Daphnia pulex: one gene and its partner. Each later gene encodes a partner of the first gene's protein in a complex. Links are inferred from orthologs where the notes say so. Each region holds a gene or a part of one and is shown on either strand. Other genes may lie near its edges.

The links.
Region 2: eukaryotic translation initiation factor 3 subunit I-like (region 1) and eukaryotic translation initiation factor 3 subunit L-like share a complex: the UniProt entries of both Caenorhabditis elegans proteins name them as parts of the eukaryotic translation initiation factor 3 (eIF-3) complex. The link is inferred for Daphnia pulex from reciprocal best matches to the Caenorhabditis elegans genes eif-3.I and eif-3.L.

The regions. Positions count from the first base shown.
Region 1 is NC_060019.1:6,187,963-6,204,284, forward strand, and holds eukaryotic translation initiation factor 3 subunit I-like, read right to left. Parts: upstream 7,362-16,322; 5' UTR 7,215-7,361; coding exon 7,212-7,214; intron 7,146-7,211; coding exon 6,899-7,145; intron 6,833-6,898; coding exon 6,550-6,832; intron 6,484-6,549; coding exon 6,282-6,483; intron 6,217-6,281; coding exon 5,968-6,216; 3' UTR 5,830-5,967; downstream 1-5,829. Other genes in the region: regulator of telomere elongation helicase 1 homolog, read left to right, coding at 7,637-7,738, 7,805-8,095, 8,180-8,506, 8,578-8,691, 8,751-9,273, 9,343-9,485, 9,551-9,670, 9,736-9,870 and 3 more; dnaJ protein homolog 1-like, read right to left, coding at 11,617-11,850, 11,913-12,169, 12,232-12,610, 12,677-12,901; dihydrolipoyl dehydrogenase, mitochondrial-like, read left to right, coding at 13,560-13,601, 13,793-14,063, 14,123-14,298, 14,363-14,533, 14,622-14,843, 14,914-15,050, 15,123-15,312, 15,368-15,505 and 2 more; tRNA-dihydrouridine(20a/20b) synthase [NAD(P)+]-like, read right to left, coding at 15,948-16,165, 16,243-16,278. UniProt on the Caenorhabditis elegans protein: Component of the eukaryotic translation initiation factor 3 (eIF-3) complex, which is involved in protein synthesis of a specialized repertoire of mRNAs and, together with other initiation factors, stimulates binding of mRNA and methionyl-tRNAi to the 40S ribosome.
Region 2 is NC_060018.1:1,444,958-1,461,957, forward strand, and holds eukaryotic translation initiation factor 3 subunit L-like, read right to left. Parts: upstream 10,434-17,000; 5' UTR 10,288-10,433; coding exon 10,264-10,287; intron 10,203-10,263; coding exon 10,003-10,202; intron 9,936-10,002; coding exon 9,724-9,935; intron 9,663-9,723; coding exon 9,543-9,662; intron 9,481-9,542; coding exon 9,371-9,480; intron 9,313-9,370; coding exon 9,142-9,312; intron 9,079-9,141; coding exon 8,908-9,078; intron 8,847-8,907; coding exon 8,700-8,846; intron 8,637-8,699; coding exon 8,473-8,636; intron 8,413-8,472; coding exon 8,244-8,412; intron 8,180-8,243; coding exon 8,045-8,179; 3' UTR 7,962-8,044; downstream 1-7,961. Other genes in the region: voltage-dependent calcium channel subunit alpha-2/delta-3-like, read left to right, coding at 1-128, 339-458, 770-841, 1,075-1,128, 2,315-2,395, 2,484-2,558, 2,641-2,748, 2,820-2,891 and 15 more; tubulin beta chain, read left to right, coding at 11,731-11,787, 12,477-12,812, 12,884-13,837. UniProt on the Caenorhabditis elegans protein: Component of the eukaryotic translation initiation factor 3 (eIF-3) complex, which is involved in protein synthesis of a specialized repertoire of mRNAs and, together with other initiation factors, stimulates binding of mRNA and methionyl-tRNAi to the 40S ribosome.

The DNA of each region.
Region 1 (16,322 bases):
AAGATTCATTTAATAATTCTTAATCTTTTTGAGGTTCGATTGATTATGATTAATTCAATAAATGCACACACAAACCGACACAAACTAACTCATTATGTTCATGACGAAAAAAAGAAGTTCATGAGAAATGAAAGTCGACACGCATCGGATCATAATCGGATCATTGGCACACATTAGCTCTAATGATCCTGTGCCATGACACACACGCGGGAGGTCCTATAAATTTACACGAATATTTTTTACAACCGACTTTTCTTCGGTCTCGGTCGGTCTCCGCTGATCGTGAGGCGTCAAACAACGCCAATTGGTTGTGCCTCCCATACGGATGGGAAAAAAAGAGAACCGGTTGAATCAGAATTAATCTTTTTTGATGCCTAACGATTTTTCGGCTTCGATCCAACGCACTCATGATGAACTTTAAAATTATGACGGTGCTATGTGTAGCAAGATTCTTTTTTTTTTAATTCCCAACTTATCAATCTTACCCGGAGCATTGACGATATCCATTACACATTCATGTGTACAAGTATGTATTGAAGCGCAGAGTGTGTGCTGTGATGTACAGCAGCTATATATAATATAGATAATTCTCTCTCGGCTAGCATTTCTTGTTGGATAGAGCTTACATTTTTCCGTCCGCATGTATGAGCAAAATATAAATACGCACGAAAGCGCAGTGGAATCGCACAAGAGATATACGACAAACAATTTCATCCATCGTCGTCGCTTTTGCAAACCTTATACATGTGCATTGCATTTGCTATATTCGATCGACTATTTTTTTCTTCCAGGAAAATGGGAAATATACGAGCGTGGTGGCCTTCCAGAAATCGAGAAGGCCTGTACAGAGTGCGTATCATTTTCAATTAGCGCACACGCTCATTTCGTTCAGATCTAATTTTAAGATGAAACCATACAACAGTTTGTTCCAATAGAAAAAAAACTATTATACAGCCGCGCAAGTTCGGACTCACTTTATCATACCGTTCTTCTCAATTGGAGGAAACTTGAGGCGTTACTCTCCGCAGTGATTTCTCAAGCCGCTGGTTGGAACGCGGTGTGTGAGGAGTCTCCAACTGCCATGGATGACCATTGCTGGATGACCATTGCTGGATGACCATCACGCGCCCAATATCGCGGGAATGGAACCGGAAGACAAAGTGGAAGCAGAAGTCGGAGACGGACAACTCGGTCAGAGTTTTCTCAGTTTTTTAAGCGCAGACATGATTTCTGGTCTCGATGTGGAGCCATTAGCAGAAACCCATCAGGAACGTTCCGTATGCCAAACCAATTCCACGTCACTTGAAGGCACAATGGAATGAGACTATATGAGAGCAGTGCTAGTAAGAATCCAGCCATCTTACGCCATCTTACCCACATCCAGCCTATCGTCAGCATCTGGTGTACCGTCTAATGAAGAGGATCACGTCCCCGTTGCCTTTGGAATGCAACAGTTGGGTCGCGCATCATTGTCCATCGAAGCTGATTCAGAGTTAGAGCGAGCCATTCGTACCGGCGAAGAAGAGTTAAATCAAGTTGTTTCTTCGATGGGCTTGATCTTCGATGAAGTGACTGTTGAGGAGGAGTAAACTAAACCCAAAGTAGTTCCAACTGGCGAGTACAATCAAGATTGAGAACTGGACGAGGACGATTTCTATACGCGCTCTTGAACACCTGTTCTGACGACTCCGGGCTACAATAGGGGTCATTCAGGGATTGGTCCAACACCGACTGCTGTTCTTCTAGGAGAATTCCTTCCGAGAGGTAACTAATCTATATAAATAATTCTTATGCACGAATCGGCTTCGATCACCTTTCCCGTTCGCCAAATTTTGGTTCGAACGGTTTGATACCTTAGATGATTTGTATTGAACGCCATCTAGCTTAGCAATCAAGTAAAATTCAAAAACATTTTACATTTTTGATGGGGATGTCGTTAAACGTAGCTCAACTGACATTATTCTGCACGTCCCTGATGACTATAGCGTTTCGTTAAATCTTTTATTGATTAATATTCGTCAGTCCAATGATCCTCCCTACTCCCTTGAACTGCATTGATCTTTGCAAAGGGTTTTCTTTGGCAAGAACAATTATTTCTTCATTAACTAACCGTGACCTCCAACTTTAAGTATCTGCTTTTAATCCTGAATACATGCCCTTGTCAGTTTTTTTTTCAAAGCCATTTTAACATGTCCAAAGCACCAAAGGTCACGGATACGGTTTGTGTGTACTTTAATTTAGTCTACGACATCGCTTCACACCTATCGGAAGCCAATATGATCCTGAATGCATGCCCTGACAGATTTTTTAAGGCTCTTTTACATGTTCAAGGATTAGAAGGCAGTTGAGGGTACCGATTTCTGTAGGTTTAACTTAGGTATGACATCGCTCCACCCCTTATCTGAAGCCAATTAGATCTTAACAAAAAAAAATCTTTTTCGATAGCCACCACCCATATTTGTACAGCCCATTTATAAATTTTTAGCGCAGTTCTCACTCATTAACTCAATGTTCAGGAAAGTGTTACTTGCGTGCTAAAGCTGCGCTAAATTTTTCATATTGTAGTTTAAGATTGAAGTTGCTGTGCTAACATGCCACAAACGTTAAAAGCACCAAGTCTCTGAAAGAATTACGTTTTCATTTCATTTTGGAAAACCAGGATTTTTTTTGTAAAAGATTTACACTACAAGAGCTGGAGGATGGCACGGAAGCTATGGATTCAGATGAAGTCAACTCCTTAATAAAACAGCGTAAGCTAAAAATATTTTCAATAAAACAATAAAAAGATTTTATGGTATTAATAAAATAACTTCTAAAAATCAGCCACTGTACTACTGGAGGAACTTACGAGGATTCTTAGGGATATAGAAATGCCAAGAAATGCGGTTCGAATTTCTGACAACATTCAGAACTAAACCGCTCCTTGAGCTGTCGATGATTCCTCATTTTCACACTTTGGATCTCACTAGGATGGAGGTAATCTCGAACAATTGTATATCTTTAACTGTAACTCTGTCACTAAAAACGGAATTGAAATTTTTCTGCAAGAATTGAATCCTTTAAGAGAAATCATTTTGTGTTGCAGTGAGCAATCGGTTTCCAGAATTACACGTGACGATATCGCCAATTGGAACGATACAGCGATTTGGATTAAGAAAAATTGGCGCTTCAATTTTATTCTCAAGAGTTATCGCAGATATATATATTTAGGCGGGTACACATGGAAACGCCGGAGAGGCGAATTTTGATCTGTTGTTTAAGGCAATTTGAAAATAAAAAATAATTTCTCTACTTGACAAGATTTCTCTATTTAGTTATTTACTTGTATTTTATTTTCGTATCTAGAGGTCCCCCCGGAACTTTTTTTTTTTCAAATGACGATTGAAACGTGCTTCTTTTTCTGAAGAGTACGGAAAGTTCTGAAATCCAATTATCAGCAATGATTAACAGTGTTTTGCTCCAGATAATAAAATAAAGATAAGATAACGAAAATTTTATAGGCTATCTTTTTGTTATCTTTTTTTGATGAGATTAAAAGAAAAATATACGATATCTTTATGTGATCTTTTCCCAACACACTTAAACTTTATTGATTTTTTGGTAGGCAATATCGGGCAACTTAGATATGGTCTCGTTGCAAGCATCGTTGGTCGTTGTAAATAGCATTCAAAAACGTTCAAAAATAATTTGTTTAGTCTTTCACTGAAAAAGAGAAGTTAAATTCACACCATTCCCTGCGCAGATCATACGGTCGGGATCCCACTGCAGATCGTAAACCACGGAGCATGTAATCGTTTGATCGAATTGGAAAGGTTGTCTTTTTAAGATTTCATAGTTCGCCTGTCTGATGCCGAGTGTTATATTTGAAAATTACGATTATACCATTTATTAAATGGAATTTCGTGTTGCACAAGATTGTGTGATTCAGTACTTACCGATCCATCAACTCGCCATCCAATGTCAATCGCCTCATTTATACTTGAGTCATCAAGATTTCCATAGGTAAGTAATAACTGAACTCGACTGTAATTTTTTCAATTCTTAATTCAAAAGACGCTCAAAGCAATAATCGTGGTGGGAACTATGAAATTTGCCGACAACATTCTGAAAACATTTGCAACATCTAACTCGATTGTACTTGCGTTCTTTCCTATTCGGTACTGGAAGACACTAATTTAACGCCGACATTCATTGTCGGCACTTTTGCAATCATTTTGGCTACTCTCTTGTATACAACTACCAGTGACAATAAGAAGAGTCACCTGTTGCGGTTAACAGGGTCAATGCATTCAATGACACCACTCAAATGTTTATGAAACGATTTTCATTTATAAAAATGGCGTTGTTACAATCTATCAAACCTTTGGAAGAGACCTAGTTCATTCATAATTTTTGGGTGCAAAAACGGCTTATCCAATCCATGTCACAGAGTCACAGACACTGTTAATTATTTTGTTGTATATGCGATAACACTAAATTAATCAAAAATCGAAATAAGTTCGAAATAACTATGCGCGCCGCTAACTAGTCTTTTCTCTTACATAAGTGCACCTAAAAATATCAAATTTCTAAAACCGCGATGCAGTTTTAAGTCTTAAAAAAAGACGTTGAATTTCAGCTCGTGACAGTCTTTATCTGGCTCAGCCCGTCCGTCGAGAAGAAACTCAAAGAAACCTATTATTTAATAATTAACGAATTATTAAAAAGCTAAACAAGAAACAATCCATTCATTATTTTACCTGGCTGCTGAGTGCTGACTCATGAGAATTTAAGCCCAAATTTGAGGAACAAGTTGCAGAAATATGCGCAGAGCAGAAAACCTTAAATCACCTTAAATCTTATTTGAATGGTTGTTTCTTAACGTTCATAACCAACTGGATTGGCTTGGAGTCAAGCTGATGAAACCAACGCTCGACGATTTTTCGTAATTCCTCGTCAGTCGTCTATAAAGTCAATAATATAAATAAAAAGCTAATAATAAAGACCAAGAATACATTGGCATACTTCGGTTGAAGGGATATGTATCAACTCCGCAAAGGAATCAAGTGCATTCAGACGGACGTCGTTATAAGCATGGGTGAATAATGCTCCAATATAGCCTTGATTGCATTATCCAGTTTGGAACCAAGTAGGTAAGAGTAACGTTAAATTAGTAATGTGTTTAAATAAGAGAATGGTAGACGTCTAATTTTATACCTTGTTGATTCCGGTTGATTCCGAGCGAACTTGCCATCGCGTTCAGTTGCAATAAAGGAAGTAGTTTCAATAGCAATCATCCTCATTGAAACGTCGGAGTCGTCGATCAAGTTGAACATCGTATTTGTAAAGTTCGGATATCTGGCTAATACATCCGGTTGAAAATGAGCCAGCGAACCGATAAATTTCATAAGCCCGGGAACGAGCAGGCGAGGCAAGAGGATCTGCAGGAGCCTCGTCCAAATTACCGGCGAGCTTCTCAATGATTCCTTGTCGCTCGAGATAGTCCCGACCATGTTGGCAAGACGCTAGAGTCGTAATAAGTTCCAATGCGTTCAGCTGGGACAAGAATGTCTCCCATTAAAACTTCTACCAGAAGGAAACTGATGAGCTCTTTCTCTTCGCAAAATGCCAAGTTTTCTTGGGATGCGCAACAGTAGGTGATTAGAATATCGTAAACCCTGTAATGGACTTCGTCAGAAGAAAAAGATTTCAAAAGAATTGTTTGTAAACAATATCAGTTATGTTTTCTCCTCTTAAACAGGCGACTCGAACCTGTTTGTATACGCTTAATTTCGTCTCGTGCCCTCTCTTGAGAAATAAATTTTCCCCCCAAAAAAGATTCTCACTCGAGACCTTTCCAACATGATGTATTCAAATACCTTCTCTTATATCGCCCATGTACACGAAAGTGGTCAAAAAATAAACACAAGACAAGTGTTCATAGATGATGGATTGGGTTCTTCGTAGGTTTTTCGCTTTTCTTCTGGTTTAGTAATCGAATTTAAAGTCAAAGTAAGACTGGTCGAATTGATTCAAACGAACGTAACCATCTTCACCACCACTGGCGTACGTCTTTCCGTCGGGATGGAAGGCCAGAGAATTGATAGGACCGAAATGGCCCTTGACACGAGCGAATTCTTCTTCGAAAACCAGATGGAAGAAACGGGCGTCGAACTTGCCGACACGCGTTGAGGTCGTCGTTACGTCCATGGCATCTTGACCACCTCCCAACACCACCTGAAGATTGAAGGAAAACAGTTAGAATCGATCAACTGAATCATTTAGAAGCTCAAGGATCATACGTGATCCATGATGGGTGAGATGGCGGCACTGTTGACGGGTCGCTCAGTTTTGTAAGTTTTTAGGCACTCTAACGTTTCGGCGTTAAAGAGTTTTGCAGTGCAATCCTTGGATGCAGTGATGAGGAGAGCTCCGTCTTTGGACAGCTGCATGTCGTTGATAGACTTGGCGTGTTCTGAAACCAGGTTGTTCTTCTTGCCAGTTCTGTAGTATAAATAATAAACAGGATTTAGTTTTAAGCACTCAAGGTTACGACAATGTCATTCTCACCTGAGGTCCCATTGGGCCAAGTCACCATTGTCGTGACCAGAAATAACAACCTCATCTAGATTACCCCAAACCATTGATGTGGCTTTAGGGGCATTAGTTAATGGAATTCGCAGGATGGGGTCATTTTCACTGAAGGAAGAGTCAACCGTTCTGACATCAATGATGAAGATCTCTGAAGGGTTACCCATAGTACTGTCTGTTGAGTAAAGGGCCATGTTTCCACTGTAACTGAAGTTGCATGTACGAACTGAAGTCTTGGCTTCAATTTTACCCAAAGCCTTGCCTAAAAAAAAACAAAGAAAAGTTTAAGTCGTAATTACGCAATGGGGTCATTTCTCACTGAACATACCAGTTTGGACATCCCAGATCATGAGCATATTATCACCAGCACCAGACATGAAACGTTTAGTTTCCCAATCAACATCAATCGCCCATACGACACCCTGATGTCCCTCGTAGGTACCCAATCGTTCTCCATTGACTGAATACCAGACACAAGGGTGGTTGTCCTTGGCTGACGAGAAGAGCAAATCTCCATCCCGGTTGTACTTAATTTGCGTGATTGAACGCTCGTGACCGTGAAGCATAAGAGGTTTCTGTGATCAACAATAACAGTGGATTAATATAATGAAATTAAATAACAGAAATGCACTGAAAATTACCATTTTTGTTTATATTAATTGGTCACAACTGTAATAATGACGTACACTTCTTTCGGCGTGGGGCGACTGAGGCCTTTCGACGTTTTTACAACACTCGTCTGCCGGCCCTGCTCGATTTTACAGTGTTGCCACCCACCCACCAAAAAACGAACCATCTTTAATCTTATCAAAACTGTTAAACTTTATACAAAAAAAAAAAAAATTAATTTTTATTCTTTAATCACGCGTAACGTTAAAATGACACTAGCAAAAATAATTTTACTTTTCGATTTGTTTCAGAGGGCGCTACTCGCTAGGGAAGTTAAAGCAGTTTTAACATCGTCTGCTATTCTCATTCAACTATTTTGGCGGGTTCCCTCACATTGCGTGTTCCTTCACATTGCGTGTGTCTCGTGGAACACAATTACCAAAATTATTTATCTAGAATGGTGAATTTGGTTTTAAATAATGTTCCCATTGAATTTCCATTCCAGCCTTATGATGTACAAGAGAAATTCATGGAGCGTGTGATAGAATGTCTTCAAAAAGTAACTAGTGTTGCGTTATCGGTCAGTGGACACCTTGCTCTTATTTTGTTATTCTTGATTAAATAGGGTGTAAATGGTTTGTTGGAATCTCCTACTGGCACAGGAAAAACTTTGTGCTTACTTTGTTCGACATTGGGTTGGTTAGCAACACGAAAAGCACAAATACAGTCTGGTCAATTAGCTGGAGATATGGGAGTGGATATTAAAAATCAATTAAGTAATGCAACTGGGCTTGGATGGGGAGATGCTGCTACTCCTGGAGCTGGAGTACCCAAAATCATTTATGCATCCAGAACTCATTCTCAGCTCAGCCAGGTCATTTCTGAATTAAAACGGTCCTCTTACAGATATATGAAGGTGAGCATTTCCTTCTTCCATTAAAGCTATTTGCCTACATGAAATGGGTTTTGATAACCCTTATTTTATTTTTCTTCATTTAAGGTATGCATCCTTGGATCTCGTGACCAACTGTGCATTCATCCAGAAGTGTCAAAGGAAACAAACAATGCTGTAAAGCTTCACATGTGCCATGCTAGAACTACTACTCGTACTTGCTACTTCCACACAAATCTAGATGCTAAGAAAGAGGAACCAGACTTCAAAATGGATGTATTGGATATTGAAGACTTGGTGACTTTGGGGAAAAAACATTCTGCTTGCCCTTATTTTATGACAAAAGAAATTCGTAAGGTAGCTGACATCATCTTTATGCCATACAACTACCTTCTTGATCCTAAAGTGAGAAAAATTCACAACATTGAACTCCAGGTAATTCCCAGTACATTTAGTAGTCTTTAAAGGTGCATGAAATATTAACTTCTTTTTTTGTGCTTGTTTAGGGAAATATTGTTATATTTGATGAGGCCCACAATGTTGAGAAAATGTGTGAAGAATCTTCATCTATTGAACTTAGAAGTTTAGATATAGCCCTTTGTGTTGATGAAGTCACCCAGGTAAACGACATCCTTTTTATTATGTGGTGTATATTCTTCTAGCGTTCTTTTTACTCCAGGTCATGAAAAAATTCCGAGAAAACAGTGATAATGATGGAATAATGGATATTTTATCTCCTTCAACACCGAAAGATTTCTCTTTAGATGACCTCTGTATTTTGAAAGCCATGTTTTTGGAGTTAGAGAAAGCAATCGATGCGATACCAATCACTTCGCCGGAGGGAAATACTTTACCTGGTGAATTTATGCTGGATATATTAGCCAAGGCAGATCTGAGTCCTGGGAAAAAGGATGTGATTGCAGATCTCCTCGATCGGGTTATTCAGTTTTTAACCGTTGCCAGCACATCTCCATATCAGCGTAAAGGCACTGGACTGCAAAAATTCTCTGATCTAGTCAAGATTGTATTCAGTAAAAGCCATTTTACTGCCGATCACATGGAACGTGTGAAAAGATCATATAAGGTTCATATTAAAGTTGAGCAGCCAAAATCTCGTAGCAAAGGCGATTCTTGGAGCACTCCCAAAGTGGTTGGTAAAGCAGGTCGAGTTCTGTCGTACTGGTGTTTCAGTCCCGGTTTTGGTAAGAATTATAATATTTTTATTTTTTTTTTAATTTTTGGTTACAATAGTTTATTACGATACTTCACAGGAATGCGGGACTTGGTGGAAGAAGGAGCCAGATGCCTCATTCTCACAAGTGGAACTCTCTCACCGCTAAACAGTTTCGCTGCTGAATTGCAAGTCCCCTTTCCCGTTACACTTGAAAATCCTCATATTATTTCTAGCAGCCAAGTATAAGTTTTCGACGTAAAAAGAATATTATTGCACATTGATTGATTATTTCTTCCGGTTTCCAGGTTCTTGTTGGAGTTGTTACTCACGGTCCTGATGGTACTCAGTTAGACAGCAGCTACAAAAATCGATCCAATTCCCAGTATGTTCAATCATTGGGTCGAACTATCCGGAGCACCGCACAAGTAATAGTCATACTATTTTTAAACCTCTTGAAAGTTTTTTTATTCGATTATTAATTTTATTTCAGGTAGTTCCTGATGGATTGTTGGTTTTCTTCCCATCGTATCCAGTAATGAAAGCTTGTCAAGAAGCTTGGCAGCTCTCTGGTCTATGGGACGCAATCAATCAAGTGAAACCCATTTTCGTTGAACCCAATTCTAAGGTGAATAATTGAGATTGTATGATTTTACGACTGGGTATTTCAACGAAATTGTCTACAGGAAGGATTTCAAGAGGCTATGACTGGCTTCTATAATGCGGTTGCGTCCGAAGATCGCAAAGGTGCGTGTTTCATGGCAGTTTGCCGTGGTAAAGTATCTGAGGGATTGGATTTCTGTGACGGCAATGGCAGGGCTGTGATTATTACTGGGCTTCCCTATCCACCGTCGCGTGATCCTCGAGTCATGGAGAAACAAAAGTACCTTGAAGACAACCGTAAAAATCCTCAATTTAAGGGATTGACAGGACAACAATGGTATCGACTGGAAGCCACTAGAGCCGTCAATCAGGTTTGTTAACTTGAGAAACTGCTTTGATTCATTCATGTAATTTTTGTTGTGTTTTTACAGGCAATCGGTCGTGTCATTCGTCATCAAAAGGATTACGGAGCTATTCTCCTATGTGATCAACGTTTTTCCGGTAAAGATATTATTCAACAGCTGTCAGCTTGGGTTCGGCCACGTGTAGTGAATTTCCCCAAAATTGGTCCGTTATTGCGCGATCTCGGGATTTTCTTCCGTAATGCTGAAGTCACATGTCCTGGCTCCTCTAGAGCTATACGAGCGCCAACTGCAGTCGATTCACATCGTGACAAAACGAAGAACTCACGTTCTACCGTGGATTCGTTCCATCATGCTCTTAGCTCGGGTTCATCTCGAGTAACCTCTCATCATCCTGCAAAGGCAAACACTGTTCAAGCTGAAGCCTATCACTTGGATCTCTCAAGTTATTCCTCGACCTTGAAGCCGAAATTGGCGAAAGAAACTTCCATTTTTGATGGATCGCAAGCAACAAACCATTTTATTGATTTCAATGAAACAGCTTCGCCCTCTTTGTCGATTGTTCCCGATAAGAAACCAGTTTGTCCGCCGGCCATCAAAAAGAGGAAAATAACCATTGTTTCGGATGCAGAAAAGGCCAAGTACGACCTCCGGCGTATTAAACTTGAAACAGCTGAACCGACGTCTTCTATGGCGTCCACGTCCTCCTGCCAGTCTACTGGTGTTGGGACGGATAACAGGAGGGAAAAAGCAGCACAATATTTAAAATCCGTCAAGACTTTACTGGACCCTACTCGCTACACTACGTTTTCGGACAAGATTCGGGACTACCGATCTGATAAGAACTACGATTTGCTGATTCCTACACTCAAGAAACTTTTTCTTGAAGATCACAAACTCCGTCATCTGTTCAAAGGTTAGTCAAATTTAAAAGGGCAGCTTAAAAAAAAATTTTGCGTCTAAATTTTGTATTTCTTATCTTTAAGGATTTCGTCAGTTCCTATCGAAGGAGGATACGCCAAAGTTTGATGAAGATTGTAGAAAAATTGAAATTTAGTCCATTTCTTCTTATTATTTTTAATGGTGAATTAAAAATTTGTTTTCTATTTGATAAACACGAATTACGAACTTAATTACAAATGTATGAATTATTTGAAAATTCCGTTTAAACAAGCGTGTAATGAAATAGTCTATTTCTTAAGTTTTTAAGGTGAGAAACATTGTACACTTTAACACATATACAGCTCAATATTTTCATAGATTCAGTGTAACAAAAGCGTAGCCAATTATTTAACCAAAACGAATTAGTGAATTTATGCTCGATTACTTGTTCTTCCCGAAAACACTTCTCGTAGCTCGTCGCCCGCCGTTTACAAATACGATATATTTGAAGAAAAAAAAATCAGTCTTTATTTAGGCAATGTGTCGTGTAAGATATCTTTCACGCTCTGCGCCAGGTGATCGGGAAACTTGATGTCAAAATTTACAATCAAATCTCCTCTCTTCGTTGGGTCTTTGGGTATAGGTAATCCTTGACCAACTATTCTTTTGCTTGTGGAAGGCTTTATTATTTCGTTCAGCATGTCCACAGGGATCTTCTCTCCTGTTAAAGTGGGTACCTCGACGAGCGTTCCGCAAAGAGCCTACACATAATTAGTTTAGGTAACCTGCTCGAACGAAACTTTTATAATATATTATCTCTTACCTCTCTAAGGGAAACTTTGGAAGTGTAGCGCAGATCGCAGCCATCCCTCTTCAACAGCCCGTGAGGTTTGTCTCGTATGATGAAAACAATATCTGCGGGTATCTTGTTGGGCGTCTGGTCCCCTTCTCGCTGGAACGTGATTTTTGTTCCTGCTTTCCAGCCTGGCTTGACGTTTATGGTTAATACTTTGTCTTCTTTTTTAGACGTGCCATCTGCCTGGTAAACTTTGCGGGAGATTTTCATCTTTTTGGTACATCCTAAAAATAGCCAGCAAAGTAAATCACAAATCCAAGAACTGAGTATTACAAAATAAATTTACCTTTAAGAACTTCTTCTAATGTGACGTTAAGGTCGTATTCAATGGGCGGATCTTGTACTTTCTCTTTTCCCATTCCTGGCCCGTGCATGTTGAAACTCTGAGATCGGAAAGCTCCCCCGGGATTTCTTCCTCCAAATCCCAAGTTGATAAAAGGGTCATCCACGTCCATGTCTTCACCACCTTCTGGAAAGAATCCTCTGTTTCCACCTTGCTGCTGTTGACCCATTCCACCCATTGTGAAGAAGGATTCAAAAGGGTTGGATGAACCGAAAAATTGAGCAAACGTGGCCCTTGGATCACCATGATAGGCGTAGGAAAAGCTGGCACCCGGACCGCCGCCGCCTCCTCCTCCGCCGCCACCACCACTTCCCAATCCACCCTTTTTAAGTACAAATATGATGTAAAAACTTAAGTCATTTAATAGGAGAATAGTTCATTTTCTTACCTTTAATCCTTCTTCTCCATACTGATCAAAGACATCTCTCTTCTTTTTGTCACTTAAAACTTCATATGCTTCTGCTACCTCCTTAAATTTGTCTTCTGCACCTGGTGCTTTATTTTTATCAGGGTGGTATTTCAATGCCAGTTTACGGTATGCCTTCTTGATTTCATCATCAGTAGCTGATTTTGATATTCCAAGAATTTTGTAATAATCTTTTCCCATTTTCATGAAGGAAGCCTAGAATGTATTGGAAAGTGAAAACTAAACAAAAGAGAACTTGATTAATGGAGGGTAATTGGATTTTGCTTGGGGATAACTGAATTTTAAAAAACTCAATATGTTTAAAATAATCTAAGTAGGAAATTCTTAAGGAAAAGAGGGAGAGTAACAAAACGGTGTGATGCGTGATGCCCAAAGAAGGTCAACGATTCAGGGTCGTCGATGACGTCGACTTCTAAGTTTGGACTGTGACACAATTTAACCCACCACCAATACGTACTAGTTAAAACGTTTGATTATTACCTTTCTGTATTACAGAATAGTAGAGCTTGGACTCGAAACACTTAAATGATAAAACGTTTGTTTTATTGGAACACTAGTTGTTCGCAAGAGTAGATTTCTCGACTTAATCGACTCGTACAAGTCACAGCTTCAAATAGCGAGAAAATGAGCCCCAGCGAGTGTATGTATCCGTTTGTTATGAATCGAGAACGTTCTCAAATAGTCTGGAAAACACGTTTCCATCTCCTGGTGGAAAGAAAAACAATTTGTAAGTTTTAACATAGTTCACCCTTTCTAGTACAGATGGTGATAGTGTCGCTGAACAGCTGAACAACTTCTGACCGCTGGGAAAAAGCTCGTGAAATCGTGAAGAACTAAAATAAAAATGCAAGTTAATATTTTGAGTAAATTGCCTCAAAATCTTAAGGTATTTCCATTGCATTCAAAAAATTATCTATTATAAAAATTTAAAAAGTATTTCGTCACCGTACTAATGCGATTCAACGTATTTTAACTGTTTATTGGGGACCAAGACATGTTGAGCCTTCTTTTTTCTTTAATCTGGTGTAGCTATTAAAAAGAATAAACTTATTATGTAATATCTTTTCTTGGTTACAGGTCACTGCAGCTGTCAGGAACCAATTAGCTAACTGCAGATGGTACTCTGACAGTACTGAAGCTGATCTGGTGGTCATTGGCTCGGGCCCTGGTGGTTATGTGGCAGCTATCAAGGCTGCCCAGCTGGGAATGAAAACAGTCTGTGTAGAGAAAAATGCAACCCTTGGAGGCACTTGCCTTAATGTTGGCTGCATTCCTTCCAAAGCACTATTGAATAATTCTCACTACTATCACATGGCCCAAAGTGAATTCAAAAATAGAGGAATTGATGGTGATTAATTATTTTAAGATTTATAATGTGAACTGAATTAAATCAATACTTTTCTCTAGTTACTGGCCTTTCATTGAACCTTCCTCAAATGATGAAAGCAAAAGAAACAGCTGTGAAATCTTTAACTGGAGGAATTGCTCATTTATTCAAGAGCAACAAAGTGACACACATCAGAGGACATGGTAAAATTACTGGTGCGAATGAAGTTACTGCTCTTAAAGAAGATGGAACCCAGGTATTAATTAATAATATTAACTGTGTATTTCATGGAAAATTCTATTTTGTTTTCATCTCGGTAGGAAATCGTCCGAACCAAGAATATTTTGATCGCAACGGGATCAGAAGTGACACCATTCCCCGGAATCGATATCGATGAAGAACAAATTGTCTCGTCTACTGGCGCACTTTGTTTAAAAACCGTTCCAGAGAAAATGATTGTCATCGGAGCAGGAGTCATTGGTTTGGAATTGGTAACATTTACTTTATTTGACATAAAAAAGCTTTAAAAAAATAATATTTAAAAAAAAAAAAAATTCTTAATTAATTAAATAATTATAGGGATCAGTGTGGTCTCGACTTGGAGCCAAGGTGACGGCTGTTGAATTTATGAATCAAATCGGTGGTTTGGGTATTGATCAAGAAATGGCAAAATCGTTCCAAAGAATCCTCACCAAACAACACATGCAATTTAAATTGGGAACCAAAGTGTTGGGAGCACAAAAATCCGGCGGAAAAATCATTGTGAACGTCGAAAATGTCAAATCTGCCAAGAAAGAAGAGGTACTAAACAACACCTCTCCCCTATCCATGGACATACCGTTCTAATTTTATCATATGCCTGATAATTCAGATGGATTGCGACGTTCTACTGGTTTGTGTTGGTCGCCGTCCCTTCACGAAGAGTTTAGGTCTTGAAGAAATGTCCATCGAACTCGACCAGAGAGGAAGAATTCCGGTCAATTCACGTTTCCAGTCCGTTGTCCCCAAGTGAGTATCACCTTACTTAAACGTCTCGGTATAGTGTGTTCTGTACTACATGAAATGTGTTAAACTCGGTAGCATCTACGCCATTGGTGATTGCATTCTCGGCCCCATGCTGGCCCACAAAGCTGAAGATGAAGGCATTATCTGTGTCGAAGGAATTGCAGGAGGATCCGTTCACATCGACTACAACTGCGTACCTTCCGTCATTTACACACACCCTGAAGTTGCTTGGGTTGGAAAATCCGAAGAGGACTTGAAATCAATGGTAATTTCCTAATATTTATACCCTTTTTTAACTTATCATGCTTTATTGAATTTAGGGAGTTGAATACAAAATTGGTAAATTCCCCTTCGCCGCCAACAGCCGCGCCAAGACAAACGATGATACCGATGGTATGGTTAAAATCTTAGGAGACAAGACTACTGATCGCCTTCTTGGAGCTCACATAATTGGACCCGTACGTTATCTTTTGTTTCTACCATGTCATTTAAATTGTAATAAATTACATTTGATGATATTATTCAGGGTGCCGGCGAAATGATCAACGAAGCCGCATTAGCCATGGAATATGGTGCTTCCTGCGAAGACATTGCCCGCGTTTGCCACGCCCATCCGGTATACTAATAATTTGAATTATTGTCCAAGAAAATATTTTCGTCTAACTTCGTTTTTCTCATTTACAGACCTGCTCGGAAGCACTGAGGGAAGCCAGTCTCGCAGCTTTCTCCGGCAAAGCCATCAATTTCTCATAAGCGTTAGCAAGCTTAGATTATAATATAGATAATTCTATGGATTCCCCCATTCTTTAACTGCAGTCCTTGTATGAGGTTGTATGTGTGTAAAAAAAGAAACAAGCTTAAATATAAACGCCTAACATAAAATTCAACCGAAATCATTCTTTATTCACATAAAGACAAGTAATTTTCCATATAGTCGATCACGGCAGTGGTACTGGACAGCGCATTAAAATATCTCCTGTCGACTCGTGACATATTTTTCTCGCACATGTAGATGAGATGATGATGAAAGTGAGTGAAGGAGATACCAGTTTCTAAAGAAAGCTTCATCCAGTCTTTGATGCACTCGATGGGAGTTTCGGAGAATCCAGCAAACATTGCTAAACAAACAGTAGCAAAAGCCAAAATATTAAATCAAATGCTATAAGAAACATGGAGAATAAGATGTTTCAATTACCTGGATTTTCTAAGATTCCTCTAGCTGACATGACTCCTAGATATTTAAAAGAAGGGTAATGGCAGTTCCAGACTGTCCGT
Region 2 (17,000 bases), on another chromosome or scaffold:
TGACAGTTGAACAATATTTGACCTATGGCAACCTCGTCAATGAGGAGCGGCTCAATGCTCATCGGATCAAACAGGAGCGCGAAGAAGCAGCTATTCCTGCCGGCAACCAGCAGAATAACCGTCAAGGCGTCAGTCTCTTTGATTTGAATACTAATTTCGTAGCTTTGACGACTTAATAATGCAACTTTTTTCAAGTTTATCTTTTCAGTTTCCAACCGTTTTAACGTGATTTTTTCGGTTTTGTGCATGCTGGATGTGGGGGAATGCCCCTGTGCAATTTGCATGTGTCTGTACGTCTGTGACGTGATTTGGTGGTCCGTCCAACGCATGTTGTCCAGATAACCAGCACCACTCCCCGTCCAGTGTTACCTCCTACTCGAAATCCTGATGGACCGCGAGCTGAGGCGCTTGTCAAGCCTGAGACTCTCAGAGCTTGGCTCAAACGAATCGACTATGAGGTCCTTGTGTTTTTTTTCTTATTTTTATGCCGATGCGCACATCATATGTTCAGTAAAATTACGTCACTACGCCTTTCGTGCTCATATATTCTTTTGACTTTTCACTTTTAGCCGTTTCATTTTGATCGTCACGTTTTTCTCGCTATATTTCGTTCTTTAGAAGCTCATGTTTCGGACACGACACTTAAATGTTCGATCTATTATTTGATGTTTTTTATGTTTATACTCGGTGTTTGGTTGCAAGTTGGGGTCAAATTTGTTGTTATTTTACTTTAAACAAAATTTTAATTCCGACATTTGAAACTATGCAGACTCGGACTAAACCGAAATTCTTGATGGCGGTCTCGGTGGCTACTCCAGTTTACGACCGCAAGAATGAATCGGTAAGACAATCATAATTTTTTTTTTATTTTACGTCTCTTTTTTTGTCTTTTTTCTTTGTCTGAATTTTTCAAACCGTTTCATTTTTTAAAAAAAGAAAACCTCTTGATAGTCTTTTTGAACTTAACATGCTGATTGACATTTGATATTTATAAAGTCAATTGACACTATTTAAAAACACCAGTGTAACCGATGCTGGGGATACATAAAACAAAGAATTTCTTCTGTACAATAGAATATCATTGAGAAAATACTCATCAACGACATCTGGGAAGAGAAAACGCGAACGGTAAAGAAACGAAACGAATCAAAGCAGATATAATTGCAGCCGCCGTAGAGCTTGTCAATAGATAGTCCACAGTTATACATATACTACATATCTTAGACACTTTTTCGTAGCTCTTTTTGACCTTGTTTGATTCCGCTGTCAAGGCTTGGAATCTTCCATAACGCTCAGACATTTGCGATTTTTCTTTTGTTTTATTTGCAACAAAAATTCTCATTTCAAATCACGGAAAGCTGCCAATGTAATCAAGCGTTTATGGAAGAGGCCAACTCTTTGACGTATAGACAATTTCATATGGAAACAATGCCGCAACATTTGCATGATGGGATTTTGGTTTGATCCTACTGATACTCTGCGTAGTGCTGCTGCAACCGCCGCTGCTGCTGCTCCTACTCCTACGTGAATTTTTTCGACAGACTCGCATATCATCTTTTATCTAGACATAGTTGAAGCGGCCATTTGAACGGGCAATGACAGGCTTAGATCAATTTGGCTGTATACTCGTGTAGGCTATTGTCACCCTATGGTTGGAAACGTATAACCGAAATATTATCCGTTTTGCCATTATATTTACGTACATATGTAGCCTAGCCGTTTTCACAGTTTGGAAACTTGTGTAGTCTTTGAGTTGTGTATCAAAACGTGGTGCAGTTGCCTACAACCATAGATTCCAGTAGACGTTTTTCAAATTAAATAACGAGTGGCGAGGTACAACACATCCAGTACAGGGTGTGAATGTCGTTTGATTGATTCATTATCCATATCCTTGATCTCTAGCGTAGACTAAAAGTATCTAGTGATGATGCCACACACACACATCAGTCTATAGCGTCCATTTGATTGTGCTGCCGAAGAATTTTGTCTTCGTGCAACCATTTACAAGTAAATGCTGCTGCTGCTGCTGGTATGCTCTAGTCTCCATTTACCGTCTTGTATAATTAGTTGAGGCGTTGAGCCAAAACGTTCATCAGATCCATTTCTACCCCCATATAGTACATACTGTATAACATTGCACGACGCTGTTCTAGACGGTAGAACGTAGAATTTCTTAGTCGCTCCCTATCTCGCAATGAACTGTGCTGTGTAGGAGTGTGGCTAGAGGTGGAGTTTCCCTCTCTCTCTCTCTCTCTCTCTGATTTTAACGAGATCAAACAAATTCGTAATTCAATCTTCGTGGCGCCATGATCAGGTAAGGACCGCCAATCTTCTTGGAGTGGCCGGTACGGACATACCCGTCACGGAACTGAAGAAACGAACGCCCGCCTACAAGGTATGTTCAGTCGTGTGTTATAATAATCATTTCCTTCCTAATGGATTTTGTCGGATCCTTCTATTTAAAAAAATACTTAAAAATCCAGTTGGGTGTTAACGGGTACTCGTTCATCGTCAACAACAACGGCTACGTTCTCTACCATCCCGATCACCGACCCCTGGTACGAAAGTGGTTATCCAATCATCAAATTAAATTAAGACTAATCTCTCTCATTTGACGACGGATGGATCGATTTGAAATAGGACGCGGACGGACTCCTGAAACCCAACTACAACACGGTCGATTTGTCCGAAATTGAGTTGGTCGATTCAGACGGCGGTCCGCGTGAAAACGACACGAATCTCATGACCGTAAGTTGTGATTGAATCATTGCTGAAATGTGGCGTAACTCATTTCATTTGAATTGAAATGAATAATTCAGATGCGCCGCGACATGATCGAGCGGCGCGAGGGTGAGATGACGTTCAAAGTGAGGATTCACCACGATGGCATGGTAAGTTTGGAAATTTGATTTCAACAAAAATTCCAGCGGTTAAAAGCCAAATGTTATTCAATTGTAGAAGAGAGTCAGCGTTCGTCGGCAGCGCTATTATTACCGCGGGCTGAAGGGTACCCCTTATAGCCTCGGTTTGGCGCTGCCTGATGGATACGGCGATTTTCGCATTGCGGCTGAAACCGAAGTCAAGCGTCTGTCGGCTGATCACAACATCAACGGTATAGTCAATATTATTTTTAGATCGTAGGTTATTGTTACCGACTCTTTGTGTCCTATTTGGAACAGTTTCGTCCTTCTTCTCCGGCAAGAATTGGAAAATTCACCCCGACTGGTAATGAAAAGCCCCGCGAAACTTTGAAGATTTCAAACGGCCATCAGTAAGCTTATATTGATTGCTCTCTTGGCAAACAGGATCTACTGCCGCTACAACTACGACCATCTGAAATCGTTCGATACGCCCGAGGCTCAAGTGCTGCACTTTGTCGGCCGGACGCAGCGGGAGCGATGGCGTTGGAACTCGAAGCACCCGCGGCCTTCCCACGACACTGTCCGCTGTAAGAAATATGAAAATCCTTTTAGGAACTTATTTGGCCATAACGTTTTTTAAACTTTTTCTTCTGGACTCCCTAAGCTCACAAACAAGAAGACAACTACTACTGTAAGTCTTTTTGTCTAATAAATAACTTAATCAAATTTATTTTAATTATTTCTTTTTCTTTCCTAGGCGACAAACATTTGATGCAATCACTGATTTTTGACGCCCAAGCCACCGAAGTGTTCGACAAGAACATTTCTCTTAGCATTGACCGACAAGATCCGTAAGTGTTTCCTTTTATATGTCCTTTTTAAACGAATAATATTAGATTAATGTTCACTCACGATCACACAACATGCACGAAATCAAACACGACAACATTCTTAGCTTTAATTTGATGTCATCACGATTTTTCCATGAGCACCACTAATCCATTGCATCATTTTTTTGCATTTCAAAATCTATTTTTTCCTTCCAATTTTCTCTTTTTGTGTCACCGGCACTTAATCACACAGAGGTTTAGGCATGCTTATGGCACTACTAGCCAGGTAACGTATCACGAACGTAAAGTAACCTTGACTTCACGTTGCCGTAATTTGGCACATCACTGTCGCTCTTTCGATGCTCCCCACTTAGGCCCGTTTTTTAAAAATGAACTTTTATATGTTTGCTTTGAAATTACTTGCGCTTTGAATTTAGTATCGCACAGAGTTTCAGTACTAATAATGTATAGCTTTTTATTCACAGGAAACGACTAACTGAAAGTGAAACAATTTTAAAATAATCTTTAATTTTTCTCTTCTCTGCTGCTCTTAATAATTATTACATTGTCCCAATCGCTGCCAAAGAAGGATTGGAATTAATCATTCATGGTCTATCATGCCGCTCCAAGGATTGGAATTAATCAAATGATCTTCTCTATTGTGCTGCTCTTTTATTATGTGATTGTGGCATTTGTTCGCAATGTTTTGCGTGTATTATAACATGTTTGGTTATATTATGGCGTTGAACTGTATTTTGCCAGATAATCCCACCTCGTCTAGTGTAGGGCCGCTAAGAGAAAACTTGTGATTGATCACATGGAAGTAATATTTTGGCATTTCTCCTTTCATTTTCTATACAGGCACGCCATGTTTAAGCTGTTTGGTATATCGGTCGCCTTTGTCGCCACTCGCAGTGGCCTCTTACGTTGGCAGGACATCAGCACCATTGATGACAAGTAAGTGTTAAATTTCGTGTATAATGGCATGACGGTCCGTTAAAAGTTGTCATCGTAAAGGGAACGAACTCGGTTGATTAAAATACTTTAGTTAGTTATTGATAATGGCATTAATAATATAACTGCGACATGTTTACGGGCCTCAAGTTTGCATGTGGTACGTCGGAGGCATGCCCAGTGGGATCGGCAGACGAGAAGAGTGAAGCGTGCTCCACGGAAACCTTTCCAGTTCAAGAAACGTTTCCAAAGTAGAATTTTACGTAAAACGATTCGCTTAGATATTCCGTTCATCATACGAAGACGAAAACCGGCGAGGTATATATGTCCGCTTCGAGAGGAGTTCAGAGTACAGTAGATGCAAGTTTGAACTTGGTATAGATGGGCTAACATGGAAAGACGCTTTCGCCATTAAGCAGCCAGTCATCAAGTATATGGTAGATTCTGTTTACCCGCTTATCCCTTGCAAAACTCAATAGGCTGACGAGCTTAATAGTCTACTTGAAAGTATTATTGATATGGCTGCCTTTTACAAACTCTTGCATTACGCTAGACCTTATTGTTTACTCATACGGCGGTTTCTTCATCATTTTTGTTGTTTTCCCTGTTGGATGCAGGCATTTTAGCGAGGCCAATCTCAACGCCATCGACCAGACTTGGTACAAGAGGGCCGTCGATCAATACTCTGTAGAACCGGATAGCTTTGTCTACTCGGTGCCGTTCAGCACGGGTACAGGTATGTGAAGAGTCCACGAGTAATTAGTCAAACGTTTGTCTGAGATTCATTATCACTGTGCACATATTAGGAGTAACCAATGAGAGTGTAGTTACTGCCTCTCATGCCATTTTCGTCGAGAAGGGCGGCTACAAAGCTCCCGCCGCTGTCGTAGGACTTCAATACAAGAACAGCGCCTTCCGAGAAACTTTCTTCAACATCACGTCGGGGGTAAATTTGATTGACAAGCTACAGAGTTTAAACAGCATTTTTAAACATATTTTTTTGATTATTACAGTGCACCGGTTAGTATACATTTATATATATCCTATCCTACTTAGTAGTTGTAGTAATCCTCCGTGGTAAGTTATCCTAGGCCGAAGGATTACTACTACTAAAAAATATTTGTTCATTTGATGGTTTTGTTACGCATACCTACCGATGCAATGCAAAATAGGAGGAGTTCAATGCAGGCGAACTTGCAGTTCCGGTGATTTGTCGTGTTACGTAGTGGACAATCACGGATACATCGTGATCTCAAAGGAGGAGAGAGACACAGGGCGCTTTTTTGGTGAAATCGATTGGCTTGTTATGGATTCATTGATCCATTACGGTGTCTTTAAAAGGTATAAAATATATTAAATAGCCAAGCCACTTTCTTGTTCGCTCGATTTCCTCATCGGGGTTGCTTTATTTCTGCAGGGTCCGCATCTACGACTATCAAGCTGTCTGCAAGGATATGCAGGGGCACCGCAGTGCTGCCAATTTCTTGCTAACACCATTACGTTACATGAAGTGGTTCGTTCAATGGATGGTTGGTCGCGCCTCTTGGATAATGCTCCAAACTCAGATTGCTCATTTGATCAATCCGGACTGGGCCTGGGGCATGGAACAAGAGCAATCGGATTACCACTACGAGGATAATGATGGTAGTCCCGGTAAGGATGCATTAATGAGATCTTTCTTTACAGAATCAATTCTATTTTAAAATCAACCATTTCAGGACCGGTTCCAACGGGTGGAGAATTCATGGCCGACGGAGATATTTCAATCATCGTCCACGACGAAGCTGTATCAATGGAAAACGCATATGCCAATAAATCCCGACCGAGACCATGTGACCAACAGGCAGACTTGTATGTGCTGCAACCCGAAAAGCTATTTAAAGGCGACAAACCCGACTCGGTCAAAGGAAAACAGAACTGCAACTCGAACAATTTGGGCGCCCGCCAATGCGAAAGACACTACAGCACCCACAAGATACCCCACTCGAATTTGCTACTACTAGTCATTGACACAACTTGCAGGTGTGAAATACAGAAGCAAAAGATTGAAATGGAGGAAGTCAAAATGAACGAGTCGTTACGCTGCGAACGACCTCAGGAAAGCTTGTACCGTCAGCGTCCCTCCGTCTGTCTCAGTTATCATCCAGAGGTAAGTGAGAATATTGCAGAGATGACTGGCAGCATAATATTCTTGTTTCTGCATTTTCTTATCGCCTTAGGAGGAGGAAATCAAACAGTGTGGTAAAGGAAATAATTTACTGCCGTCTCCCATTCTACTTACAGCAACCTTAATCTATTCAGTTTTAAAATGGATTTAATTTGATTTCACCGGTCCCGCATGTCTTGTTGCATCATTTTGATTGAGTGAATGGGTGATTCATAATTCTCGGGTCCTCAAAATTTTTATATTATTTGGCTAGTTTATTAGTCTCCCGATGTATGGTGGTCGACATGTATCAACAGCTCTTATTTATTTATGGATCTAAATTGATGACTTTAGTGTGCGTGTTGGTGATACCATGGGTTATGAATGTGCATAGTGTGAGCGACATTGGGCTTAAAAAAAAAGACGACTTCCCAACAAAGTATTCAGCTGGATAAGAAAACGTACTAAGCCTACTTCATACATATCAATTGTTATAAAATGTTCTGGTACGGAGCGTGCTTCTTCATCTGGCTGGTAAATGGTGCGTAATTGTTTGTCGTGAGCTCTATGGACTAATTGTGGTGGTGACTGACAAGCTTGTTATTTCTTAATTTTCAAATTGTTACAGTCCTGAAATGTTAAATTTATTTAAAACTCTCACATTGACGTTTGATATTCTAATTTCAACCAGCAGTAATCGAATGCTTTTTGTTTTGGAGAGGGGACATAAGGTCCTTTTCATGTGCCCGTTACTGCAAATACGATTCTTCTCGTTCCATCTGCCGTGGGTAATGCGTGTCATCCTTTTTGTTAGTGCTTTTTTTCATGAAAAAAAAACTCATATTCCCTACTGATGCTTTGACTGAAACTGAAAATTTTCAAATTGCCCTTGTGTGTTTGAATTCCCCTTGTTTGATTTTAGATAGCATTTTTTTTTTTTTACATTTCCTATGAGGATGCCAATGGTCTACATTTCTAGTAAGATCTTCGGTCCAATTATTTAAAAAATGTTCTCTAATAAAAATAATCTTATCATTTGAATACATTCAAAAATAAGAGAAACGTACATAACATCACTGGTGGCCTTACATTCATTTCATTTGACTTCCTTGTAACTTGTCGGACTTAAAGGTAAGAAAAAAATTCTCTTTAAAAAAAGTTAAAAATCACTAACTTCCTCCATGTTATGTATTTTGCCTTTGAAAAACCAATAAGATGTAAAACATATTTAAAGGAGGTAAAGCATCGGATTTTTAAACTTTTTGTGTCTTCAATACGCGGTTAATTTCCTCGAATTTATGGATTTGTCTAATGAAGTAATCACCATAGCGCCGAGCTACTTTCGTGTCAGCAATATGGATCATTCCGCCATCGATATAGAAGTCCACCTAATGCGAGCAAAAGCGTAAATAAGATACATTCCACTAGAACTACAATTCTAAGATATTTCACCTCAGAGCCTGATTGGAGTTCACCGTCCAATCCAGAGGTGCCTTTAGTCCAAACGACGTTCTTCATCTTATGTTTGAAGCATAGCAGATGGGTGCGGAAATCAGTATCGGGCATTTCCAAAAACGCAGCCATTTTGGCGACAGGCATAGTAGTGTACAAACGTAGATAACTAAACAGAAAATTTATGTTAATAATACTCGGACATTCAAATCTAATGTTGAACAAATACCTGCGAATCGTTGGCAAAGTAAGTTGCTGTTGTACTTCATCCATGAAAACTTTTGCCAACTGTTGAAATGGTTCACGGCGATGATCGGCAGGTGGTGCTTCGACAGGAGGTGGAACAGGAGACAAAAATTTCGGAGAAGCGAAAGCGAATGCATTTTCGAATTCCTAACATAATTGAACAAATTTAAATTGTTGCTTTAACTTTAAAAAATATCAACAGAAACTCACTTGAAGTTCTCCCTTTTGCATCCGCACGATGCGTTCGGCATGAGGTTTCTCTCGCAGGATCGCCTGTAGAGATTCGTCGATGCGCTGAGGATGAAGAACGAGGCACACCGACAGTAGAACGTACATTTTTTCGGTTTGTTTGTTGATCTATAAACACAAAAAAGGAGATTAAGATTTCAGTATTTCATTTCACTTAAATCTAATTGACCTGGTCATTTTGGTATGTTTTAGCCTGGTATAATGGCTTAGTGCGCTGGACGTAGAGTAGAATATGGGAAAACGTCCGAATAGCATCAGCATACCGCCTCATCATCAAATAAGCAAAACCAACATAATAGTAAGTTGAGATTTGGCAGGCAGGTACTCTGGAGTACAGAGTCTAAAATGAGATTGATGGATTACGTTTACAAGCAATGCAAATCATTTTTAATTTTGCGCTTACCTTTTTATTGAGTTCCATATTTTCAAGAACCTTAACAGCTTGATAGAAATCTCCTAATAATGAGTGGAGTCTCAGTAATCCAACAAGACTGAAGTAACCCAACATTTTATAAAGAGGTCGGCGGCCAAATTCTCCTGCTACGGTATCGGGATCATCACCTTTGGCGTATACCTACATATCGATTGTATTAATTTTAAATTACAACCAATAATGATTCTCTCCTTCTTACTTCCAATTGTTGGTTGATATTGGATTTGTCAACCAAAGAATACAACACATTCAATACAGAATGAATGTTCCACAAAGTTGGGTTGATTCTGATGAATTCAAGTTCTTCAGCTGTAAAAAAAAAAAAAAAATGGTGAGAAAAGAAAAGATGGAGCATAAGATGATGGGTGTACCTGATTTCTTATGAAGAGAACAACGAAAAAGAGCAAAAGACTGGAACTGGTAGACAAATTCATCAATTATTTCCCACAGCCATTGATGAGGAAGCTCCAAAACAACTGGACTTTTAGCACCTGTAGTAAAATGGTTTATGAAGGCTTTGGGCAAACATCTAAAAATTAGTGAAGTTAGTACTCAAAATATGGTTGAAAAGTTGACAGTAGTTGTAGTAAGACTCAAAACGTTGTTCAATTGTTGGTCCTCCTTGGATTCGTGCATAAATGTGGCGATAGTAAAGTTCCTTGTAGAGAATCAGAAACGGTTGATCATCATCCACTAATGGGGAAACTTCATCTGCATCAGGCCAAGGGGATGATTTGAAGTGCTCTTCAGTTAATTTTGGAAATCTAAATGGAGTAAAAAACAATGGATCAACAATTCAACTTTGTCTGACAGGCACTGTGGTGGGCTTACGTGTTCTCGTAGACATTCTGAATTTCATACAACTTTCCAGAGTTTACCATCTCTCGAAAATAAATAATGAATTTCTTGATCACATCCGGCATGCTATATTGAGCATATTGGGGAGCACTTCCATAGCTAGTGTATCGTTCATTTTCAGCATCAAGCCGTGGATCCCCGGTTGGCTCATAGGCATCGGCTTCATACTCGTACTACAAATGAAAAAGTTTTTGATGATAGGTACAGAACATGTTGTAATTATTGTACACTTACATCCTCAAATTCTTCGGCATACATCTTTTAGGTTTTTCAATACCGATAGTTATTAAATTTCAATTGAAAATTGCGGAAAATTGAGAAAAGTCCACGAGTAAGATTACTATTTCGATTACTAGTGGCTCTAGTGTCAAATAATAGTAGCTGCACAGCGTTGCCGCATGTACTCAACAATTTTCCAAAAGATCATCTGTCAAAAATTCGAATGTAAAAATCGATCGTCAAACTTATTTACTCCGGTTGAGATTAATTTACCTTAAACTTAACAGATTTCAATGCTAAACGGGACTGCCATTACAATTCTGTTTTTCTGTTTTATAGCAAGTATATCAAATCATGATCAAAAGTTGATCAGGAAGTAAATATTCAAAGAAAATGGTTACCAAAATTGTTTCAAATTTACGGATGAAGACATCAAGCACTCCAATAGCTGCATTCAGGCTGTGTTTCCCAGGAACCATAAAAACACTGCTGAGGTGGATTTGTTGCAGTTGCAGGATGGGTTGTCTAGACACATAAGTATTGATCGTGTCTGGCAGAGGTCTGCTACAACTGGGACCGAGTTTTTACGTTTCTCGCCGGCTCCGGCTCGTCCCCTGTCGCGTGATTCACCGGCATACATGTGTGTACTGCTGTCATGGTGATTATTTGCCATGTTTGGAATAAGTGTTTTGTGGTTTCATGTGACCATTATGCCTAATGCATTTAAGCAGGATTACATAAAACTATGCTGGAGTCAATGGTTAATAGTGCCGAACAGGTTTTATTACTTTGAAATCAACTCGAAAATCGCAAACCATGATGCCGTACAAACTGGTTTTTGAATTTATACGGTTCCCGGTTTTCTTTCCTTTTAGAGACGTAATTGGCAATATTTCAATCACATACCAACCACGGAAAAGGAATGAATTTTCAAAGCGTGTTATTTCTTACCATATTCGCCACACCGATGACAATAAGTGGGTTATCTTATCTTTAATCGAAACTTTATATTTAATTCTAATATTTTACTGAACTTAAATGGAAGCAGGCATTTTTTGAAGTTTAAGATTATAACGTTCAATAAAAGGAACTAGAGACAAACCAAAAACGTTGCCCTGCAAATATTTCTCTACTTATTTAGAATTTTGATTGGGTCATATCTCCGTTTTTTAATATTCAGCCAACTATATACAGAAACATATAAACTCTGCATCTCTAGGAGCAAAAAATAACCGAAACGCGCGGACGCAAATTTCGAATCTCCCAATAAGGATTTGGCTTTCATGTTTGATTTCGTGGACCAATGGCAATGCGCAACACAATCAAGCTCCGCCCTCTTGCACCCAAGGCTGTTCATGAGGTTATAAATGCCAGTCCCATTGCAAACGGAAATTCATATCCAGAGGATTCCAGCGCGAGGCACGTTGACCGTTAAACTTGAGAGTTTTTCTCTTTCAATTTCATTTCGAAAAATATTAGAAAATGCGTGAAATCGTTCATATTCAAGCTGGACAGTGTGGTAACCAGATTGGAGCCAAGGTAAATATTATATTTTCATTATTTTAGAATGATAAGATATTTGACATGGTTTGCTGCAGTGAAAGACCGGTGTGCAAGACACCTTTTTTATGCCCATTTGGCGCTAGTCCGCCATTTTTCTTTGTTGTCCGGCCCCTTTCATCTCAAGATGTTGCAAAAAAAAAAAGAGTAAATGTAATGTTGTTGATTTGATTGCATACTCCTTTCTCATGCAATCTTCTCGATTGTTCATGCCATCAATCTAAAGCTTCCAGGCTTGAATGGTGAACCGGTACCCGGCAAGATCACAAAAAGGCGAGTTCTAATTAGTTTTGTTTCGATGCACTTTGTTTTTTAAAAAACCGGATAGTGTAGTCGTGCCAAGTGGTGGGGTAAAAAAAAAATTGAGGCTAACGACCATAAACTTAAAAAGTAAATGTGAGCCTCCCCTCTAACCTTCAAATGTTATATCGCGCATCCATGTGGCAGATGTGAACCGAATTCGATTGGGCAATTGTATGTGAAACAACATCCCCTCCCCCGACATTTTCCAACCCCTCATTGTGACAGCGCCCTTACTGATGGGTTATCTAGCAGTTCCTCCCTAGGTGTAGTTAGATTTTATACTGTGTGTATAGCACTTAAAAACTCATTGAAATTGGGCAGGTTTTTCTAACTCTCCCTCTTTTTTTGTTTACCTTTTCCTGCAGTTTTGGGAAATCATTTCTGACGAGCATGGAATCCAACCTAATGGCACCTACCACGGCGAGTCTGAACTGCAACTGGAACGCATCAATGTCTACTATAATGAAGCAAGCGGAGGCAAATACGTTCCCCGTGCTGTTCTTGTGGATTTGGAGCCTGGCACCATGGATTCCGTTCGTTCGGGACCGTTTGGCCAGCTCTTCCGCCCTGACAATTTCGTCTTTGGCCAAAGTGGAGCCGGTAACAACTGGGCCAAAGGTCACTACACTGAAGGAGCTGAATTGGTCGACTCTGTTCTTGACGTTGTCCGCAAAGAAGCCGAGAGCTGCGATTGCCTTCAGGTAAATAACTCTTTTTAATTTGGAATGAGATGATTTTTTATAATAAAAGTTTTGCTGTCATGTGAAAACAGGGTTTCCAGCTGACACACTCCCTTGGTGGCGGAACTGGATCTGGCATGGGAACTTTGCTCATCTCCAAGATCCGTGAAGAGTATCCTGACCGTATCATGAACACATATTCTGTTGTCCCCTCACCAAAAGTGTCCGACACTGTCGTCGAGCCGTACAACGCCACTCTTTCGGTCCACCAATTGGTCGAAAATACGGACGAGACCTATTGTATCGACAATGAAGCTCTCTACGATATCTGCTTCCGCACACTCAAATTGACAACGCCCACCTATGGTGACTTGAATCACTTGGTCTCCCTCACCATGTCTGGTGTTACTACTTGCCTTCGCTTTCCCGGCCAGCTCAATGCTGACCTGCGCAAATTGGCTGTCAACATGGTGCCCTTCCCTCGTTTGCATTTCTTTATGCCTGGCTTTGCTCCCCTCACTGCCCGTGGGTCTCAACAATATCGCGCATTGACTGTTCCCGAGCTGACCCAGCAGATGTTTGATGCCAAAAACATGATGGCCGCCTGCGATCCTCGCCACGGACGTTACCTGACTGTTGCAGCCATTTTCCGAGGTCGCATGTCAATGAAGGAAGTCGATGAGCAGATGCTCAACATTCAAAACAAGAACTCATCCTACTTCGTTGAATGGATTCCCAACAACGTCAAGACAGCCGTCTGTGACATTCCTCCTCGCGGTCTGAAAATGTCTGCCACTTTCATCGGCAACTCGACCGCCATCCAAGAGCTCTTCAAACGTATTTCGGAACAGTTCACTGCCATGTTCCGTCGTAAGGCTTTCCTCCATTGGTACACTGGTGAAGGCATGGACGAAATGGAGTTTACCGAAGCCGAGTCCAACATGAACGATCTCGTCTCCGAATACCAGCAATACCAAGAAGCTACGGCCGATGATGAGGCTGATTTCGAGGAAGATGGGGACCACGCCGACCAAGACGCTGCTTAAAAATGCAATTTTGCCCTCTCCGTCCTTGATAGAACTGCCGAAATATGTGGGAGAAATGTTTTCCATCTACTGCACTCCCAGACCGCCCTTTAGTCCAGCTGCTGATGTCCGTGCACTTTCTTCACTTTTTAAAAACTACCATGCCTTTCGCTTCCTATCCTTTTATGCTTTCCTGACTATCTTTTCCTTTTTAGAACATCCCCTAGCAACTCTTTCGTATTTCTCCACATTCCTCGCTCTTTTTTACGTTCCCTGTTTTTATTAAGAAACAACATCCAGATCTGATCTCCTTCGACTGGACTGTCTCCCTGTGTACATTCATCTCTCTGCGCAACCATTCTGAACAAAATAAATGCAGGTTAGCCAAGTCACCAGCTGAATTCAATTTCCTCTTTCTTGCTTAATTAACCCTAATGATAATTAACACCACTTTTGCTATCTGGCATTCAGTATTGCTGGCGTATGCTTGATGCACAAAGCCTCGTTTCCATTGGTGAATTAGAGAAATGCGAGTTTTACTTTTCCTCCCCGAAATGGAAAGGCTTGTGACTCATGTAGAAAATAACCCGTTGGGTGAATAATGCGCACGCAGCTCTAACGAACGGACCTGCTGAGGCGGTGAGTCGTTTTGGGCATCGCCCTTGATGACGTTCATTTCAGATATCCTTGACAACGTAATTGTGATGAGCGCTGTGGCGACTGTAGGTCATCCAACACTATTGTGTCACCGACGCTGCCGATGGGATAGGCTAAAAATCTAGTATGTCTTTTATTGGACTCTATCATCCTTATATAATCCGTCTAGTTTTATTGCATTTACAGTAACGACCACGTACGGTTGAAAGGGGCTTTGTGTGAGAGGTCGTAATGTAGCCAACGAAAGGGAGCCGCTGGACTGCTGTTGTTTTATGGAAGATATGAGAAAATAAGGGAGGTAGTAAATTAAATATGACTAGACGTTTTGGTTGGAAAATTCCGCGGTTTCATCTCCATGACGACGACCAGGAGGCGGTTTCCAAAGCCCGAATCGAGCGGCAGCTTCACTTCGATCACCTGTTCCATAATGGTTTCATCAAACTACCAAGCAACAGCGAAAATAGGGCGAAGGACACCCATAGAAAACAATGGATCGATTGAAAACTACTACATCAAAAGTCATGCAAGCGATGAGATCAACGGTCAGTAAGAGCTGTTTTTAGTTTATTCACGCTATGGTTATGTATGACTCATTCTTCTAAAACTGCTAATAATAAAAAATCAAGGGGAAATGTGACAAATGTCCCCCTTTCAGGCGCATCGAAATTGATAGAACTGACAGACGGAGAGTGTCGAAAGCGAGGGGTAACGTTTTTTGGGGTAAACAATTATACACAGGAAGAGAAGAATCATGCAAAGGAGCAATCAACAAAAGAGAAACACCCTATCAGATGGCATCATAATGCTACCAGGTTACCATAACAACAGACTAGTCGTTGTTTGATACAAATGACCCCCCAACAGCAATTTTTCTCAATCTTATTAAGTTAATAGTTTTCCTACTTTTTAAAATATGAGCATAGTATTCTGGGTCATTTTTATTCCCTTGCTGCAGCGCTTAAAAAAAATTACAAAAACAAATATCCGGATATCAACGCGTAGATTATAAATCTCCTTATCTCCCGATTGATTGGCTGTTGATTCAAGTAGGTTGTTGCACCATTCAGTCACATACAATCGCAGCATTTAAAAATGTCGGAAAAAAGTGAAGTTGACAAACCTCAGCAATTAGCTCGTACGATTCTTTTGATATTTTTTTTCTGATACATCATTAACATCTAATTTTGCACAGCTTCTCTATTTGGAAGTTGCCGATTGACAATTGCCTTAATGTGCGCGGTAGCATCTTTTGGCGCCTTCTTCATGACTATAAATCTCGGAATGGTGATACAGAAAGCATAACAGAGCATACAGTAAATATATAACTGGAAGATGTAGAAAAATAAATTTTTGTATTTATTTCCTCCTTCCATTCCATGCCGCAAAATATGAACATATTAAACTTTAAATGGGCAGCGTAAAAAAAATGTCCCAAAAAGCCCCGGTCTCCCCTCCCCTCTACAAATATTTAAAACAAGAATAACTCTACACTAGGCCTATAACAATTAGAAATACCGGTCCTTTACAAATTACCCCTTTGCTTCGTAGAGTTCGTACGGTTTTGCAATCGTGAGTTTACTGCCGTACTGGCTCCCATCATGAATGAATTTATTCTTGTAATTAATTTAACTGCACCCTAATCATTGACATTTCGAATACGAACACCTTTTGTTGACGTAAATCTCCTTCTTACAATTTAAACGTAACAATTTTCGTTTAATGTTCAACATAAAATCAGCTAGAAAGCTAGAAATTTGGTTTTTCCTCTTCCGCTTATCTGAGAAAAATGAATGACAAAACAAGTTAAAATGATTTGAGATTTAAGATGAAACTTTATTTGTATCGAATAAGAGTGAACATGAAAATCATATAGCCGAAGCCGTTGTTGCCGAAGGTGTTTGTGTTTCGGTCTTTCGACTGAATAAGTTATAACCAGGGACGTATACGTAATGGTCCTCCTCCATGAGTGATATCATGCCATACCTGCCATGCCAACAAAACAATTGTAGCCAAAGCCCAAGCGCAGCAAAGTGCAAAATTTCCGATCATTTCTTCCTCAGTTTCATGCCATAGCATCCATGCAATCCATGCCCAGAAAACAATTGAAGCGAAAGCCCAAAGTGCCAAAATTCCGCCCACCAAATTTCCTTCCGCAGTTGCATAGACCATGAAAAGAAGGCAAAGGCAACCAAAACAAACACCAAGAACACAAACCAAGAAAACCAAGAGCATTACCAAAGCCATTGCGAAAACCGAAGCCGTTGCCAAAATTTCGACCATTCTCACGGTCTCACCACTGGTAGGTAGGATGTTTCCGTGTTTGCAATTAAAACTACTATTGTCGTTGGGGCTGCCTTTATATAGACTTTGCCAGAGGAATCCCGTTCCGCACTGTCCATTTCCACTGTTTTAATTAGATTCCTAATTATGTTTATGCTGTTTAACTTTTTGTATTGATTGTAATTATACTTTATGAGCTAACGAACATTGTTCAATTAGTTTTAAATGTATTGCAATTCATTTTAAT